2 linked regions of the Lytechinus pictus genome follow. The protein of the gene in region 1 interacts with the protein of each later gene in a pairwise test. Links are inferred from orthologs where the notes say so. Each region holds a gene or a part of one and is shown in the gene's direction. Other genes may lie near its edges. The genes, in order: mothers against decapentaplegic homolog 4-like and LIM domain transcription factor LMO4.1-like.

Region 1 (8,172 bases):
ATAATTCTGTGTATAATAAAAAGATTTTCAGCCATGGTCCATACCAGTGCTCCTAAATAATTTAATCGCCTGCCTGAGTCCTGACCAGTTTTAGAAATCTGAAGAAAAAATCTGCTGGAATTGTGCAAAAACATTATTTCTAAAATAAAGACTTTTTAATTTTAATAGTATACGCCAAAATGCATGATTCTAAACTTATATCAGATCTGTATCTGTCATCTGACCTGAATGCATCGTCAGAACAAGTACAGTTTCCAAACATGCTTACCTTGACTTTTGACTGGATCAAACAGCGTAACCTGCAACATGCATCGGGAGCAAGTGAATGGGACCGTGCAGCTTGGAGTTTTTCAATAGTTAGTAGAGCAACACAACGAAGACTGTCGAGTGGACAAAATCGATCTTTCCAGTTCACAATTCAATAAAAACCGGGCAAAATAACACAGTTCTGGTTCCCTTATAGTCTGAAGTTGTCGAAAACAGAATTCGGATATCACAATACATGAAGAAAACAGTAAATTCGAAGAAAAATAAAGACCAGGAAGGTGAATCAGCTATCAGTGTACTGCTGGCTTGCACAGAGCTAGAGAGCGGCTGAGTGAGTCGATCATCATGTGACGTCATTATTCTCGACTGTATTTGATCGCGTTATTGTCTGTCTGGGGGCGGCTGGGGGGCTGAGAAGGGTCTCTTATAATTTCATTTCTTGCATTTCCACGACATCAATAAGACTTTTTAGTGACATATTTGTGTATAAAAAGACAAGACCTTTCCATTCATATATAATTTGTCTATAATCATCACTTTCATGAATTTTCTTTGGATGTATACTTTAAGAAGAAAACATAAAAGGAAATAAACAAATAAGAAAATGCTGAAATAACTTTCCTGCACATGTATGATAAACCTTGTCCAAAGATTAAAAAAGTTCTGAGAATGGGTCATTGTATATTTGTTTTACATCCCTTCCACTCATACCATTTTACAGCGAAATGATTTTTAATAAGTCGATATAGAACAATCGTTGAGAAGTTGAGAAAATAATAAGTATTGCCATATGGATCGTCTCTTAAGCGAGCGCACCTGGTTAGTGCAGCTCGCCGAAAGTTCCCGTGGCATGCAGTGGAGAGTACCGTTTGGCTGAGCAGCGCTCTGCTCGCATCGCGCCGCACAGCTCGCGAATCGCGAGTTTGGGGGGGGGGGTCAAAAAACCTATAGTTCACTTATTCCCTAGGGAAAAAATGGACTATGCAAGGAAAATGAACTATTTCATGGCAAACGTTTTTCGTAGTAAAACTATTCTTTTTCTCCTTGTGTACACTCTACAACAATCTTAAGTAAGGGATATAATATCAACTAAAAAAACTTAAAGTTATGATTTTCAGTTTTCATATTGACAGTATGAAAATCCCGATTGCATAAACCTGCATAATCGTTATAAAAGTATTGGAAAAAAAGAAGAATTAATTTTCAGGTCTCCAGTTGAAGGTCAAAGCTCATTCTAAAGGGGGGGTCAATAAACTGATATACAATGTACAGTGCGTCCCAGAAAAAGGAAACTGGGATTTCCTAGTCTTTTTCATTCAAAGGCAAATGAATTATTTGCCTTTTTATTTCATTGAAATAAAAAGGCAAATAAAAAAGGGCAAATAGTGTATGAGTGTAATGAATTATTTGCCTTTTTATTTCACTTACATAACCATGTATCATCCAATTATTCCTCTTTAATTTGATACCTAATTTGAGATGAACACTTCATGCATTAATGAGCAATACGAGTTTGAAATTATAATGTCAAAATCAGGTTGCACAGAAAAATTTGACAAGATTGGTTTGTGTTACGACGACCGTGCATCGTTATAAAAGTACTTGTACTTTCATTTTCTGCAAAAATCTAAAAATCGATATTTTGACCAAAATTGACTGATACGACGGTTCGGATGACCGCCGACAAATTGTTTGCATATGTATATCGGGACATTCGACACACTGCCAAATATGGCACTCCTCAATATCCGACATCTTGGCATGCTGTATTACGTGCTCACGCTTTTCAAAGTCTAGGCATACATGTAGGTCTATGTAGGCGTGTGGAGCTGAGAATCGTGCCCCATATCGAGAGAGGATAGAGGTTCTGTTGGTATTTAATTCTTATTATTGATCACTGATTCCTATATGAATATGATTTTTTTAGCTCATCCGGCCCGAAGGGCAAGTTGAGCTTATGCCGTGGCTTCCGTCGTCCATCCATAAATTTCAAAATGCTTCTTCTTCGCCATGTCGAGTCCGATTTCAATTCTGTTTGCTTTATATGATAGCACTAGGTGGGGGATTCAAAACTTCTACACAGAATTTTGAAACTCATTAAATATGCTAATTTATGCGCATTTTTCAAAATTCACAAAAAATGCTTCTTCTTTATTTGTTGACTGATTTTGAATTTTTTGCTTCCATCTGGTAGAGCTTCATGAGGTTCACCAAATTTCTAGACAGAATTCTGAAATTTTGAGTAGAACAATTTTTATGCTAATTTATGCAAAATTGATTTATGCATATTTTTAAAAATTCACATAATAAAATGCTTGTTCTTCTGAATTTGTTGACCGATTTTGATTTTTATTCTTCCAACTGGTAGAGCTTCATGAGGTTCACCAAACTTCTACACAGAATTTTGAAATTTTGAGTAGAAAATTATTTATGCTAATTCATGCGAAAATTCATAGATCACAGAAAATGCCTCTTTATTTGTTGACTGAATTTCAAAATGCTTCTTCTTCGTCATTTCAAGTCTGTAATTCTGTTTGCTTTTTATGATAGCATTTAACATTGGGGGATTCAAAACTTCTTCACAGAATTTTGAAACTCATTAAATATATGCTAATTTATATCATTTTTCAAAATTCACAAAAAATGCTTCTTCTTTATTTGTTGACCGATTTTGATTTTTTTGCTTCCATCTGATAGAGCTTTATGAGGTTCACCAAAATTCTACACAAAATTTTGAAATTTTGAGTAGAACAATTTCTATGCTAATTTATGCGAAATTAATTTATGCATATTTTAAAAAATTCACATGAAATGCTTCTTCTTCTGAATTTGTTGACCGATTTTGATTTTTTTCTTCCATCTGGTAGAGCGTCATGAGGTTCACCAAACTTCTACACAGAATTTTGAACTTTTGACTAGAAAATTTTTTAAGCTCATTTATGCATTACTTTAAAAATTCATATAAAATGCTTCTTCTTTATTTGTTGACCAATTTTGATTTTATTTTCCTTCCATCTGGTAGAGCTGCATGGGGAACACCAAACTTGTACACAAAATTTTGAAATTTTGTCTAGAAAATTATTAATGCTAATTTATGCAAAATTTATTCATAAATCACAAATGATTTTTCCCCTTCATTTGTTGATCAGTTTCAATTTTGTTTGCTTTATATGATAGCTCTAGGTGGTGATACAAAATTTCAACACAGAATTTTGAAACTCATTAATATTCTAATTTATTCAATATATTTTCAAAACTCACAAAAAATACTTAATTATTTGTTGATTGATTTTGATTATTTTTGTTCCATCTGAGAGCTACATGAGGTTCATCAAGGTTCTACACAAGAGTTAAGAAATTTTGACTATGCTTATTTATATGAAGTTTATTCATAGATCACAAAAAATGCTTCTATGTCATTTTTTATCAATTTCAATTCTATATCCTCAATTTAGGTCACCAATATCATGCACTACAGTGTCAACTGGGCTGAAATTCAAATTGTGTTAAATTTCGTTGTCATATCCCCACTTTCCTTTTCTTATGTAATACATGAAATCATAATTGTTTCATTTTTTCATACATGTGTAAATTAATGATGTGTCTCCATTATGATGAAATAAGTTGGGGCAATAAATAACTAATAATAATCAGTTGTCAATCCAATTGTTTTTGTTCTTGGTAGAAAAAATTTGAATAAACCTAATTTCAATTATAATAAAATACATAAGAACAAGTGGGGATATGACATCATCAGCCCACCTAATGAATATTCATGAAGACATGCCTAAAACTGTTTCACCGGAATAATGCAAATCTTTAAAATTCAATAACTTTGTTATTCGTTATCAAATTTTGATCAAATTTTCAGCATTTTGCTCTGTGAATTTTACTCTATTTATTGAGATATAAACATCTCCAGCCTGGACCATCCCTTTTAGCCTAAATTGCTATGTCAGGAAAAGTTATTATACATAATCTGAATACACATAAAATTTGAAAGCTGTGCCAAAGTGTGAAATGAAATATGGCAAAAACTAGTCCAAAGCTGTAGATTTTATAATCAATTCAAGCTTGCAAGAAGATATACCATGTGATCAAAAAATTCTAGCAGGAAATCAAATGTGTAATCTGAAAAGCAAAAATATTACCATGTTTCTCTGTGTACAAACCCATGGAATCACAATGCTTTTAACACATCATGATGTCACAGATAAACACGATAAACCCTTTTTTTTAAAGCCCAAAGGTACTCAGCGGAGAAGTAATGAAAATATATAAACTCTTCATTGCTGTGTTTTACAGTTTATAAGCTTTCGATTGATTGACCTTTCAATTTCACTTTAGGTCCAATCGGGGTCTGGAAGCAATGTTTTCAAAGTGAAAAATTTACTTCTAGTTTACAGGACATTACATTGTTGGGCATGATCATTAATTGGGCTCCATTTCTTTTATTCCTTCTTTCTTACAAATATGCAGGAACTCCTTGGACAGATGCCTTAGTTCATGGTGTAGCAGAAAATACACCAAATATCATTTTGTAGTTGCAGAAGTGGCACATTTCAGACCGGTTTCGAGGTGACCATTAGTGTCATCTACCCCACTGTCAAGCTGGCGTACCCAATGGGAACAATGGCGGGGGCCCCAACGAGTGCCGATGCCTGTCTTAGTATAGTACACAGCCTCATGTGCCATCGGCAGGGAGGAGAATCAGAATCTTTTGCAAAGAGGGCCATTGAAAGTTTGGTGAAAAAACTGAAAGAGAAGAGAGATGAGCTGGACAGCCTTATCACAGCCATTACCACAAACGGTGCACATCCCAGTAAATGTGTCACGATACAAAGGACATTGGATGGCAGGTTACAGGTAATTTAACTCCATTTTACTAGCTAGCAACAAGCGAAAAAGTTGGATTTGTCTTTGTAAAAGACTCACCCGACTTTTAAAAAGGGGGAAGAGGTGCGTGTTATTCACCGGCAAATATGGTACCTCAAATTCCATCAAAAGCTAATATGCTTTCGACAAAGTTTATTAATTCCTTTTAATTAAAGAATCATTAACTTTACACCAAGCCCGTGTCTTATTTTCTTGTTTTGATGATCATGGGAAAAAATAAAGATTTGTACATTTTGGGAGCACAATTTTGATATATTTCTTTCATTTATTTATTTTTCTTTTTAAAGAATTAGCAAAACACCATATTGAAAATGTTCCTCAATTGGGCAGGGCCTGTTGATTGTTTTAAATTGATGGAAACCTATATTATTCAGGACACTTTTCTAGTTTTTGTGACGAGGAGAAAGGTTTGGAATGGGGCCTGACATACTGGTTGTCAAACAGTCATTTGGAATGGAATTAGTGTTGCAATGTTAACTTTGTATGAACTGAGTTAAACCTTACAAACAATGGGAAGGAGAGGGGTGCTTTTTCCCCTGTCCTAATTGCAGGCACGTGATGGTTCTTATTTCTGAGAACCTTTGTATTATAGATGGCGTGAGGTGAAAATGTTTTCTTATTACCTCAATGTTTATCATCAAGGGAGGGTATTTCAAAGGTAACTGGTTTGCATTTCCCCCCAGGAAGGAACAGTTCTCCTTTCCAGGTTGTATTAGAAAGTGAAACCTGTCTCGGAGAGAGCTCACCTGGATATGGCATATTAGACGGTTTCCTCTCAGGAGTGTGCATGTCACACACTGCACTGCCAATATGTTTCCCTTTCTATCAACAAACTAACCTATTTCTTACCAACTCTCTTTTGCCCCCCTTGCCAGCCAGGTCATTTAAAACGAAAATAATTGGAAAATGTGAGGTTTTTCTTGACAAGGTAATAGTTCTGGTAAATAAGTAATAAATACTAATGTTCGTACTTTTGAAAGGTTTCAAAGAGGAAATCTTAAAACATACAAAAAATTATATTGATACAACAAGAAAAGATCAACAATCACCAAATGTTTGTATTTGAATGTTAGGACTAACCGGGTGTGATGGGGGGGGGGGGGGGTAGCCAGACAGGAACCCTTTTTTGTGGGGGGGCTGAGAAAATATTTTTCTCTGCCTGTCAGAAAAATCTGAATCAATTAACCTACTCTTTGATGTGACAAAGCTTAGCTTTCCTCAAGTTGGGAAGAGATTTCTGTGCCACCTCTTTGATGAAATCCAGGACACACCATGACCAAAAGCTTTAGGATACAGAAAGTTACCAGAACAAAAAATCATTTTTTATTTTATTCTAGAGCAATTAAACAGTCATTCTTAAATAAAAACATTGTACCATCTCATAGTGATTACTTTAAAATCAATAATTTGAATGGAATACATTTACTAGTCCATTACATGATTTACATCAGGTGTATCGTCACTTGCAGTGGATAGTGCTAACAAATCACCAGCGGTGATCATTACATGTAACATGTTGTTGAGTTGTTATCACTGCATGCGATTGAATTCAACTTGTTTTCTCTCTTTGTCAGAAGAATTGTGAATTTGTGAGGTAGAATACATCATTGTGCGCGATGCATATTATCCATAGTGATGTATTATTTGTCACATTACCGAGGTTTCGTTTCTCTGCGACTGCTACGTAATCCTAGTTCACTGGAAGTGGTGACACCGCTCGTTCAGTATCACGTTCGTACAATGATGAGAACAGTTTCGATTTCAGTCGACGTACCCGTACCAGGCCACAGCATAGACTGGCGTGATAGCGAGCGGGCCAAGAGCCGATGCTCAGCCGGAGGATTAGGCATAGCATCACGCCACGAACCAGTTGGGTGACTTGAGGGTGCAGCATTTGCACTCTTGCTCTTCGCATGCTTAAAAACGTTCTTACGTATGTGAGAACATGTACCAATATGAATCCCACAGTGTAGTTAACAATTTAAAATGATATCAAGAGAATGGATCGTTCAATTTCCACAGTTTTATGAAAATACATTGAAAATATGCATTTTGAGGAGAGATGCATGAATAGCGGATCTCGACGAAGTTAATCCCTGCAACCCTGGTAGAGTCATGCTGCCATGCCTGCTGAGCGCTGCATGTCGCAAGATGAGCTCTGGAAGCTGGGTGCGCAAACGTGGCACAAAAGCCCCAAAACACAGTTGTTTGGATATAGAACATGAATTGTACCTTCTGGATATGTACACTCCCCTCCAAAAGTTTGGGAACACCTGCCTTCAGTGTGTGTTTTTCGAACTTTGGTAGACTTTACTGAAGTTAAGCCTCATAGTACAGCTGTATTTTTGTTTTAAAGTGAAGGCTATACACAAGTGTACATTTTATCATTGATTCAAACAAATTCAAAGCTCTTAAGGGACGTGCAGCTGCCAAAGAGGGCAGGCTACCAGTCAAGATGGCATTCTCTAAAAAATGCCTACTTCTTTTAACATTGTTCTGTTTGGGGTTCTTTTCTGAAATTCTTCCCAATATTTTGTGAATGTTACAGCAGATGTCCTCAGAATTTGTTGCTCAGTATTGTTCATAAGACAGTTAATTTATGGAAATCTGCATCTTTATCCTGGAAAACATCTGAACTTGACAAATGCCTAATCCTTGTTTAAAGAAAATACATGGAAGTGGAGTAGACATCAGTGCAATTTGAAATTCATGAATTCAAAAGTTATTCAGAGTTTTTTTACACTTATTCCAGTGCACCTTCACTCATTTTGCCTATTCGGTTTTCTTAGTCAGAAGTCAGTCACAAAATTAAAATGGCTATGACAAGACAGCTTTCTTTGGAAACATGTCAGTCAATTGTAGTTTTGAGGAAAGAAGGCTACTCCATGCAAGAAATAGCCAGGAAACTCAAGATCAGTATCCATGCGGTTCACTACAGCCTGAAACGCAAAGAAGCCACTGGGTCTAATGGGAACAGGAGACGAAGTGGTAGGCCAAAAACAACATCTC
Region 2 (7,452 bases), on another chromosome or scaffold:
ATAAATATTTCTTTTGTCGATGTTGGCCCATGTATGAAATTCAAGGATAAAACAAAGAGAAAACGGTTTCGAGAAATTCCAAAGACTCGAGTCGATATCGCAGTCCTATGAAGAGTTCGAGTTTGCTCGTTACCCCCAGAAAACGTATTCAGCCCGGCATTTCCAAAATTGATAGAAGGACCTGAAATTACACAAGATAAATCGAACCCGTCACGCCACTTTATTTTTCTCTTGATTAGTTCCCACTTCTTTGTTTCAAGATCGTCTGCATCAAAGCAATCGAGGTATATTGTATCGTGCTCTGAATTTCAAACCCTCTTTGATTCGTTTACCTTTTCATAAAAACAATGAAGGAGGTATACTCTCCCCAAAGGTGTGAGCAGCACGCAACGTGAGTTGGTTTGGCGAGTTTTCCACACACAAAAAATAAGTATAAAAGTAATTAGTTTGACTAAAGATTCGGCCAATTCACGCCTTGCGAAGCTGGTCGAAAAAAAGATATAGGACTATTTCTGTTTTTGTTCATCTGAGCATGATACCTGGAGATATCAGTATTACTGTGAAAGTGTAATCACGATTTTTCCTGGACTGCACAACTTGAAATAGTGTGGCAATTTAAATTCAAGGTGAATGAGCGCTCGTCTTGAAGATATATTGGAATAATATATAGATTGGGGGGGGGGGGGGCATTACGAATTTCCGAATGATTATTGTGTCGGAAATATGAAAAACAAATAGTATATCCGGGTTTTTATTATGCTATATGCGTGATTGCGGCAGTCTACTGATCGATCTCTAGCATCGACACAACGATATTTGGACTGGCAAAAGTTCACATCTTATTAACTGTGGTGAGCAAAAAAAACCCCGATAACACGCAAGAATTAATATGAAGCGCAAATTTCATTCCCAAGTTAATTACATCTTTGTCGGTAATATCATCTTGTTGCTACAGGTAGATAAACCAGTCGACATGGTTCGTGCAGTTATATCTTGCAATTACAACAACAATAACACAAAAGATCCAATATCTATAATGACAGTTTTTGAATATCATATATTCTTTTTCAAACGCGGAAATGATAATTTGTCAGGTCTCAATTTATAGTTCAGCCCGGGTATTTCCCGCAAAAGGGTCCGTTTTGTGTTTGCAACGTTGCAAGCCACTTGCCCCTTTTTTAAGTACTAATTTAGTTTAGAATGTCATGCTCTAGAAGTAAGCATGCTTAAAGCGCACAGGAATGGATTTGGACGGGAGAGAGGAGGAGAGAGATTGATGAGTAGATCCTGACGTAGATTGAACTGGGTAGAGTGCATTACGATTTCATTTAATAAATCAACCAAGCGAATTCATTAGAAGTAATGGAGTTTTGATGCCTGATTAAGGCAAATACAATATTATGACGGCCATAGTCTCTTGTCTACCTCGAAAATCACGCTGTCCTGTCGTGAATGCTTTCAAACTTCAATCCCGATTCCCCCCAATAATATCGAAGTGAATGTATCTCACGCGTACCCCTTCGAAATTAATCTTTCCAAAATATCTCATAAAAATACGATCAATATTTTCATTACATTCAGAATTCTACGCACACTCGAGTCGAGCATTATCTTGCCATTATTGAAGAGGGAGAGAGAGGGGAATGGGGAATGTTCGCCGAACATCCTTTAAACGAAAGGCTTAGATCATGTTGAGATATTAATTTTTGAACGGGAAGGAGAAGCATGCATGTAGTCCTTCATCCAGGTAGCTCATTATCTGAGTAATACCCGAGTGATTGAGAAATAAATTAACTCTAAAGCCCTTACGATGTATGGTGGTCGTAAAAAGCAAAGCTCTTCAAATTACTTTCTGATTTGATATGTGTGCCATGCGAGATCGAACTTGTATCCAATGCTGTTACATTTTCTCATTATGACTGGCTATATGTTTTCATATCAACGTGTCCCGGGCAATTATTTTGATTGAGGTTCAGTTGGTTTATAAACTACAAGTGGGATTACTTGGATGAAATTGGTGTAATAATGAGGGGAGGCTGCATCTTGTCTTGCCAAGACGGTATCTTTGCAAGAGAGAAGGAAAGAAAGAAAGGGGTATCTTAATACAGTGTATTTGAGAATTGCACACAGCGCAAGTATCACTTTAATGTATTGGCTGTCATGCGCGTGTGTCGCAAAAAAATTTCATTAGATTGTCACACAGGTATATGTTTCAAATCTCATTATCTTTGTTTTCTCGGTTTCAGCGCAGCAGCATGACGGGATGATGAAACTAATCTTGCCATCTCTCGCCATCTCTCCCCCGAGCCCGCACTTTAACGTGTTATTAATCAAGCCTTATGAATATTCCAATGAGATGGTGATGAATATTGATAGGATGCGCTGGATTTGTTACTTCGGTCCCCGTCACATCTCGCGCCCTTCAGTGGAAGGAGCAGGAGTTGGCACGTTAAATTGGCTGTCTATCTCACTATCTTACACCGTTGATCCCTCCCAAGGGGTTGTCCAACTGTTACCAATATTCTATCGTATATCACCACCATCAAACAGACCTTTGCCTTATTATATCTTCATAAATATTCGGTTAGTTTCAGCTCACCCGACTTCCTCGATCTTGAATTGACTGTATCACCTAGCAGTGGAATCGCCCCTAGAGGCTAGTTGTAGAATTTCTTTAGTGGTTTCCTTTGAAGCGCATTTGAACTTTGCCAGTCACGTCATACCTGAAGAATAGAAGCTTGTCATCGTTTGAAGCAACGGCACATCGTAAAACATATAGAATTCCATCTAAAACGGAGCAAATCATTCTTGTTTTTGTAAGGATATATTCAATAACATTAGTAACTACTTCATGGTTGTGTTGAATGGGATGAAAAGAGGGTAATATAACATGACCTTTCAGGGAACGAATTACTTGTTCCCCCTGATTCTCGCTTTACCAATCGAAGCGCGTCCTGTGTGTGGATGGCTATAAGCATTTCTTCTCCTTTTACCACTGATTTGTTTCCCCGGCAAGCTACAAAATATTCCATTGAGCAGACTTCTCTAAATGCCCCATTTACCCCGACTCAATTATGAAATTAGACGCCTTTAGAAACTCAGTTGAAAATCGATATCTCTCAGACTGTTGTCTGAAGACAAATAAGCCCGACACAGCAGACATGAGAAATGATAAGCACACATTAGATCTTATATGTCGGTATAATTCAAAAGGAGAGTCATTGGAGCTCCATAATACGATCCGAAAACGCTAAAATGCTTTGGTGAGTTTTATGTTACTTCCTTTTATGCACAAACTGCCTCTATGAAATATGGAATAAACCCATTTCTCACGTGAATAACGTCATATACTAAAAGCATTAGGCGAAATGCATTATTACGTTCTAGCTTTTAGCGCGCGCAGGTAGTATATTTGATTACATTTACTCTTTTCTTTCACAGAGCTGACGTGCCTCTGTACCTTTCATTCGAGTGAAGTCGCATTAGCAGAGTAAAGTGTTCTTTTACAAAGCAAGCAGACCTGAAAATGGAAAAGGTTGCTTTTTCCCACCCACCCCCCCCCCATTTTTTTTTACGCTAGAGGTCAGACACTTGTGCGTGGTATTATCTTTGTATTCGAATCAATGTTGTCCAAACGAGTCGTCAGTGATATAGGAAATATAGTTTCTTTGGTTTTATTGAATGACGTCCGTTTCCGATTGTTTAAACAAAGTGTGAACCATGTTCAAGGAAACGTTTTGAAGGTATCGACAGTGGTGTGAACTGTTGAAAAAGAAAACATCTATCTTGTAATTCGATAAAATCGATTGTCATTGCAAACCACCATTAGTACTACCATGGACCCTATTTTTATTGTTTCTATCTGATATCTTGGAATGAAAATTCAATCGTCCATATTCATTCGCTATGTAACCAACAACTCACATGTTCGTTCACAGATATCCGAAGGGGGGTCTAACCCAAATTGTAGTAAGAAATCGTCCGTAAACTGTTTTTTTTAGATGCAAAAATACATTTTTAAGATATCCCTGCAACCTTTAGCCACCGAATCATCAACTCTTTACATGTTTTATTTATCACTTTTATTCATTGCAGCTAACAATATGGACAGCACCAAAGAAAACAGACCTGCACCAACCACGAACAGCAACAACAACAACAGCAACAACAACAACAACAACAATGCTGTACGATGTTGCGCGGGGTGTGGCGGCAAGATCATCGATCGCATATTGCTGCATGCCGTAGATCGATTCTGGCACACGGGATGTCTAAAGTGCTCTTGCTGCAATGTTCAACTTGGCGAGATCGGACACTCGTGTTTCTCCAAGGCAGGAATGATTCTCTGCAAGAAAGATTACCTCAGGTTAGTGAGTACCTTTCACGTCAGGTTATCGATAAGATGGAGGCGACACGGGTGACGGATGGCTCGGGAGTTTCGAGTGGGTGGGTCATTTTGGGGCTGGGTAAGACTTAGAGTTGGGTATTTTTCTAGAAGATTGATTTTAAAACGTTGGCAGTCGGTCGCATTTCTGATGCGATGTTTTATGCGCTCTACGCGCATCGGGTAAAGTCTTGAAAAGTAAAATTAGTATACGCGCATGGTTACTCATGGCCGACCATTTCCATTTCTCATTCCTTGATTTTTTTTCCGAGATCACATTCAATTTGTGGACTCAAACGAGTCGAATCAATTCTTGACTCTTAAAAATAGAATTTCGTTAAAATCTAACCCCCCCCCAAAAAAAAAAAAAATAGTAAACAGTGAAAACGGAAGAGTTATGATGAATGAATAATAACAAAACAACCACAACAAATTATATAGAGTAGTAGTGAAGATCTGGAAATGTTATTGTGGACGCAATAATACTGGACTGCAGGGATTTGTCTAAGACTAAGATTTAAGTACTGACCTCTGAAACACCTGTACTAGGATTTCATTTGTATAGATTGTGCCGTTGAGTGCTGCAGGGAGATAAAGGGTATTGTCTGTCTATTTGTGAGTCATTACCAAGTTCCTCCTTTGGAATCGCAAACGTTCTTAGCAGAAAATAAGTACTTAGTGTTCAGGTCAGGCTGCATTTTCGTTCTCTGGAGTCGGGAACGGTGCCCTGGCATCACAATCCATCTCGGTGGCTTCACCTTGTTGTGATATGCCAAGATTATTATGGAGTCGTGTCAGAACCTCTTGACGAACGGGAGCCAGTGGAGGCATTATCCCTCTTCAGACTGAATGGTTTCACTTCCTGTCCTGGCCCGAGCATCCATCGAATCTCGTCTCTGCCTCGCCTTCTCCTTTTCTTCTCCCGTCATCTTCAGGAGCGAATCAAACTCTCATCCCGTGATTAGTCTTTGCATCGTGACCCCATTCATGAGAGGGATCGCATCAATGATCATTCATCATCTCCCCCCCCCCCCCTCCACATCACAGTCGTGACAGTGGCAATACATTAGGTATTTTATTGCAATTGTTATTATCACGCAATGAATGCATTCCGCATAATTATAGTCTAGTCTTGTAGACGCGTGTGGTTTGGGTTTAGTAGCACGACTAGTACTGTTCATATTGTATTTTTTGATCGATTGATTGATTGATTGGCAATATATGGCTTCTTATTCACATCAAGTATAAAGGCATAATATGGTAAGGCGATAATTGATATACTACTGTATAAAGAGGCAACAGATGAACACAAAGGACAATTTAAAAGATTTAAAATGACGAATAATAGCGGTTATTGGATGTGAGGACCAGCAAAGACAAAAAACCAATCAAGGCTATTCACCTTAGTGAATTTGAAATGAATCTACATACACAAAATAGTGTAAACCCGTGAATAGAAAAATATTCAGGCAAAAAAAGGCCTATTGAATAAACGATTTATTAATAAGAAACGACTTAAATTGGTTGGCAAGTTTCTGTTCGGATTTAAAAATATTCCTTATCAAATGTCATCTGTAATCGATACGATATGAAGGAAATCATAGAAAGTTGTCGCCATTCAATTGAGGTAACTTTAAGCACATTTATACTGGTAGGTATATATTTCATGGCAGTTTTTTTTAACATCTTCAAAGTGAGACATGACGAATAGACGAATTCGGCATTCAATAATGAAAGATAAAAATACAATGCTTTTATATTTGGGGCTCACAAAAATATTCGTTAATTGAATTCTTTGAGGAATGTATTATTCAGAATATATTTAAAGCCAACATTAATGTATACTGTAACGCTGAAAATGAAGAAGTAGCACAAGGGTTAACTAGTAGAGAGCTGCATATTCCATTGTTTTGATGCAACCTTGTTTTGAGTGTGTGCGTGAGGTTGGCATATCTAACATTATCTCCGGATATTATAGGATATTATTAGTATTGACGCCTATGTCCGATTCTAACCAACGATATCAGTGGGCAGACATACGAAAGTTCACGGCATCCAATGTCCAAGGATCCCCTTTAATTTCCGAAATTTGAGGAAGAAGAGATAAATGGTTGATTGTTCGAGTAGTGATCCCTGCAGACAGGTTAAACGACAAGCTATTACTTACTTTGTCCGAATCCGTGAATGAAAGTCTGTTTATGGGGATTGTATACGCAGGCATTTTCAATAACCATAACTCGAGAAGTATTAGAGATTTAGGGGATATGCCATTGCTAAAACTCAGCAGAAATCGGGGAATGAATGGTTTATTCATGGATATTTGAGGCATTCATTTTGATGGTAAATGTTCATTCATCATATTTAAAGCAATTTAAGGGGATTGCTTTGCCTCGAAATGGATCTAGTGTTTGAATGTGGGTGTGGGTGCTGTTATAATGGAGACCTTTTTGGGCGGGAAAAGAAAAGAGTGTCGGGTGCATCCAATAGCAGGGCAGATGGCAAGTGCGTAAAGAGACAAGACGGTATCTCCGAATGTATGACTTGTCTGTGAAATGTCTTACCCTTAATCTAATGCACTCTTTAATCAATCAAGTTACAGTGGATCCTGTTGGGGGACTAATTAATTAAGTCGCTTCTCCTCTGATCAGCCTCTAAGACGTCCATACGTTCTTCTCCCAAGAAGCGTCGGGAAGATCAAATGAAACATCTTCTTGGCATGTTGGAATTAGCGGTGCTGGTGGTAGGGCTCGTTCATGTATCCATAATGCACAGATGTAGAATTCGTAAAGGAACGCGATGTGTTTCTGTCCCAACATTTTGAGCGGTTTTCAAGCGTGGATGACATGGCAGTCTTGCAAAGTTGATCATCTTTAACTAAAGTATCTCCCTGTGATAGCACCGTGCTGTTAAAGTCGTTTGCTCTGAGTCTAAAGGACGTGAAAACATTTACACGTCATGGCAATTTGGCTTCCAATCATGTTATCGTTGACTGTTAGAAATAAAGCTGCCCTAGAAAGATCCATATTCCCTTATGTCTCTTTAGCAATGATTCGATAAAGAATAATTCG

The links.
Region 2: the proteins of mothers against decapentaplegic homolog 4-like (region 1) and LIM domain transcription factor LMO4.1-like interact in binary tests that used the Homo sapiens proteins (3 or more experiments, as listed by UniProt). The link is inferred for Lytechinus pictus from reciprocal best matches to the Homo sapiens genes SMAD4 and LMO4.

Annotation. Positions count from the first base shown.
Region 1 is NC_087247.1:25,801,622-25,809,793, forward strand, and holds the start of mothers against decapentaplegic homolog 4-like, read left to right. Parts: upstream 1-4,744; 5' UTR 4,745-4,890; coding exon 4,891-5,133; intron 5,134-8,172. UniProt on the Homo sapiens protein: In muscle physiology, plays a central role in the balance between atrophy and hypertrophy. When recruited by MSTN, promotes atrophy response via phosphorylated SMAD2/4.
Region 2 is NC_087259.1:10,298,834-10,306,285, reverse strand, and holds the start of LIM domain transcription factor LMO4.1-like, read left to right. Parts: upstream 1-4,103; coding exon 4,104-4,366; intron 4,367-7,452. UniProt on the Homo sapiens protein: Transcription cofactor. Plays a role in establishing motor neuron identity, in concert with MNX1, acting, at least in part, to disrupt LDB1-LHX3 complexes thereby negatively modulating interneuron genes in motor neurons.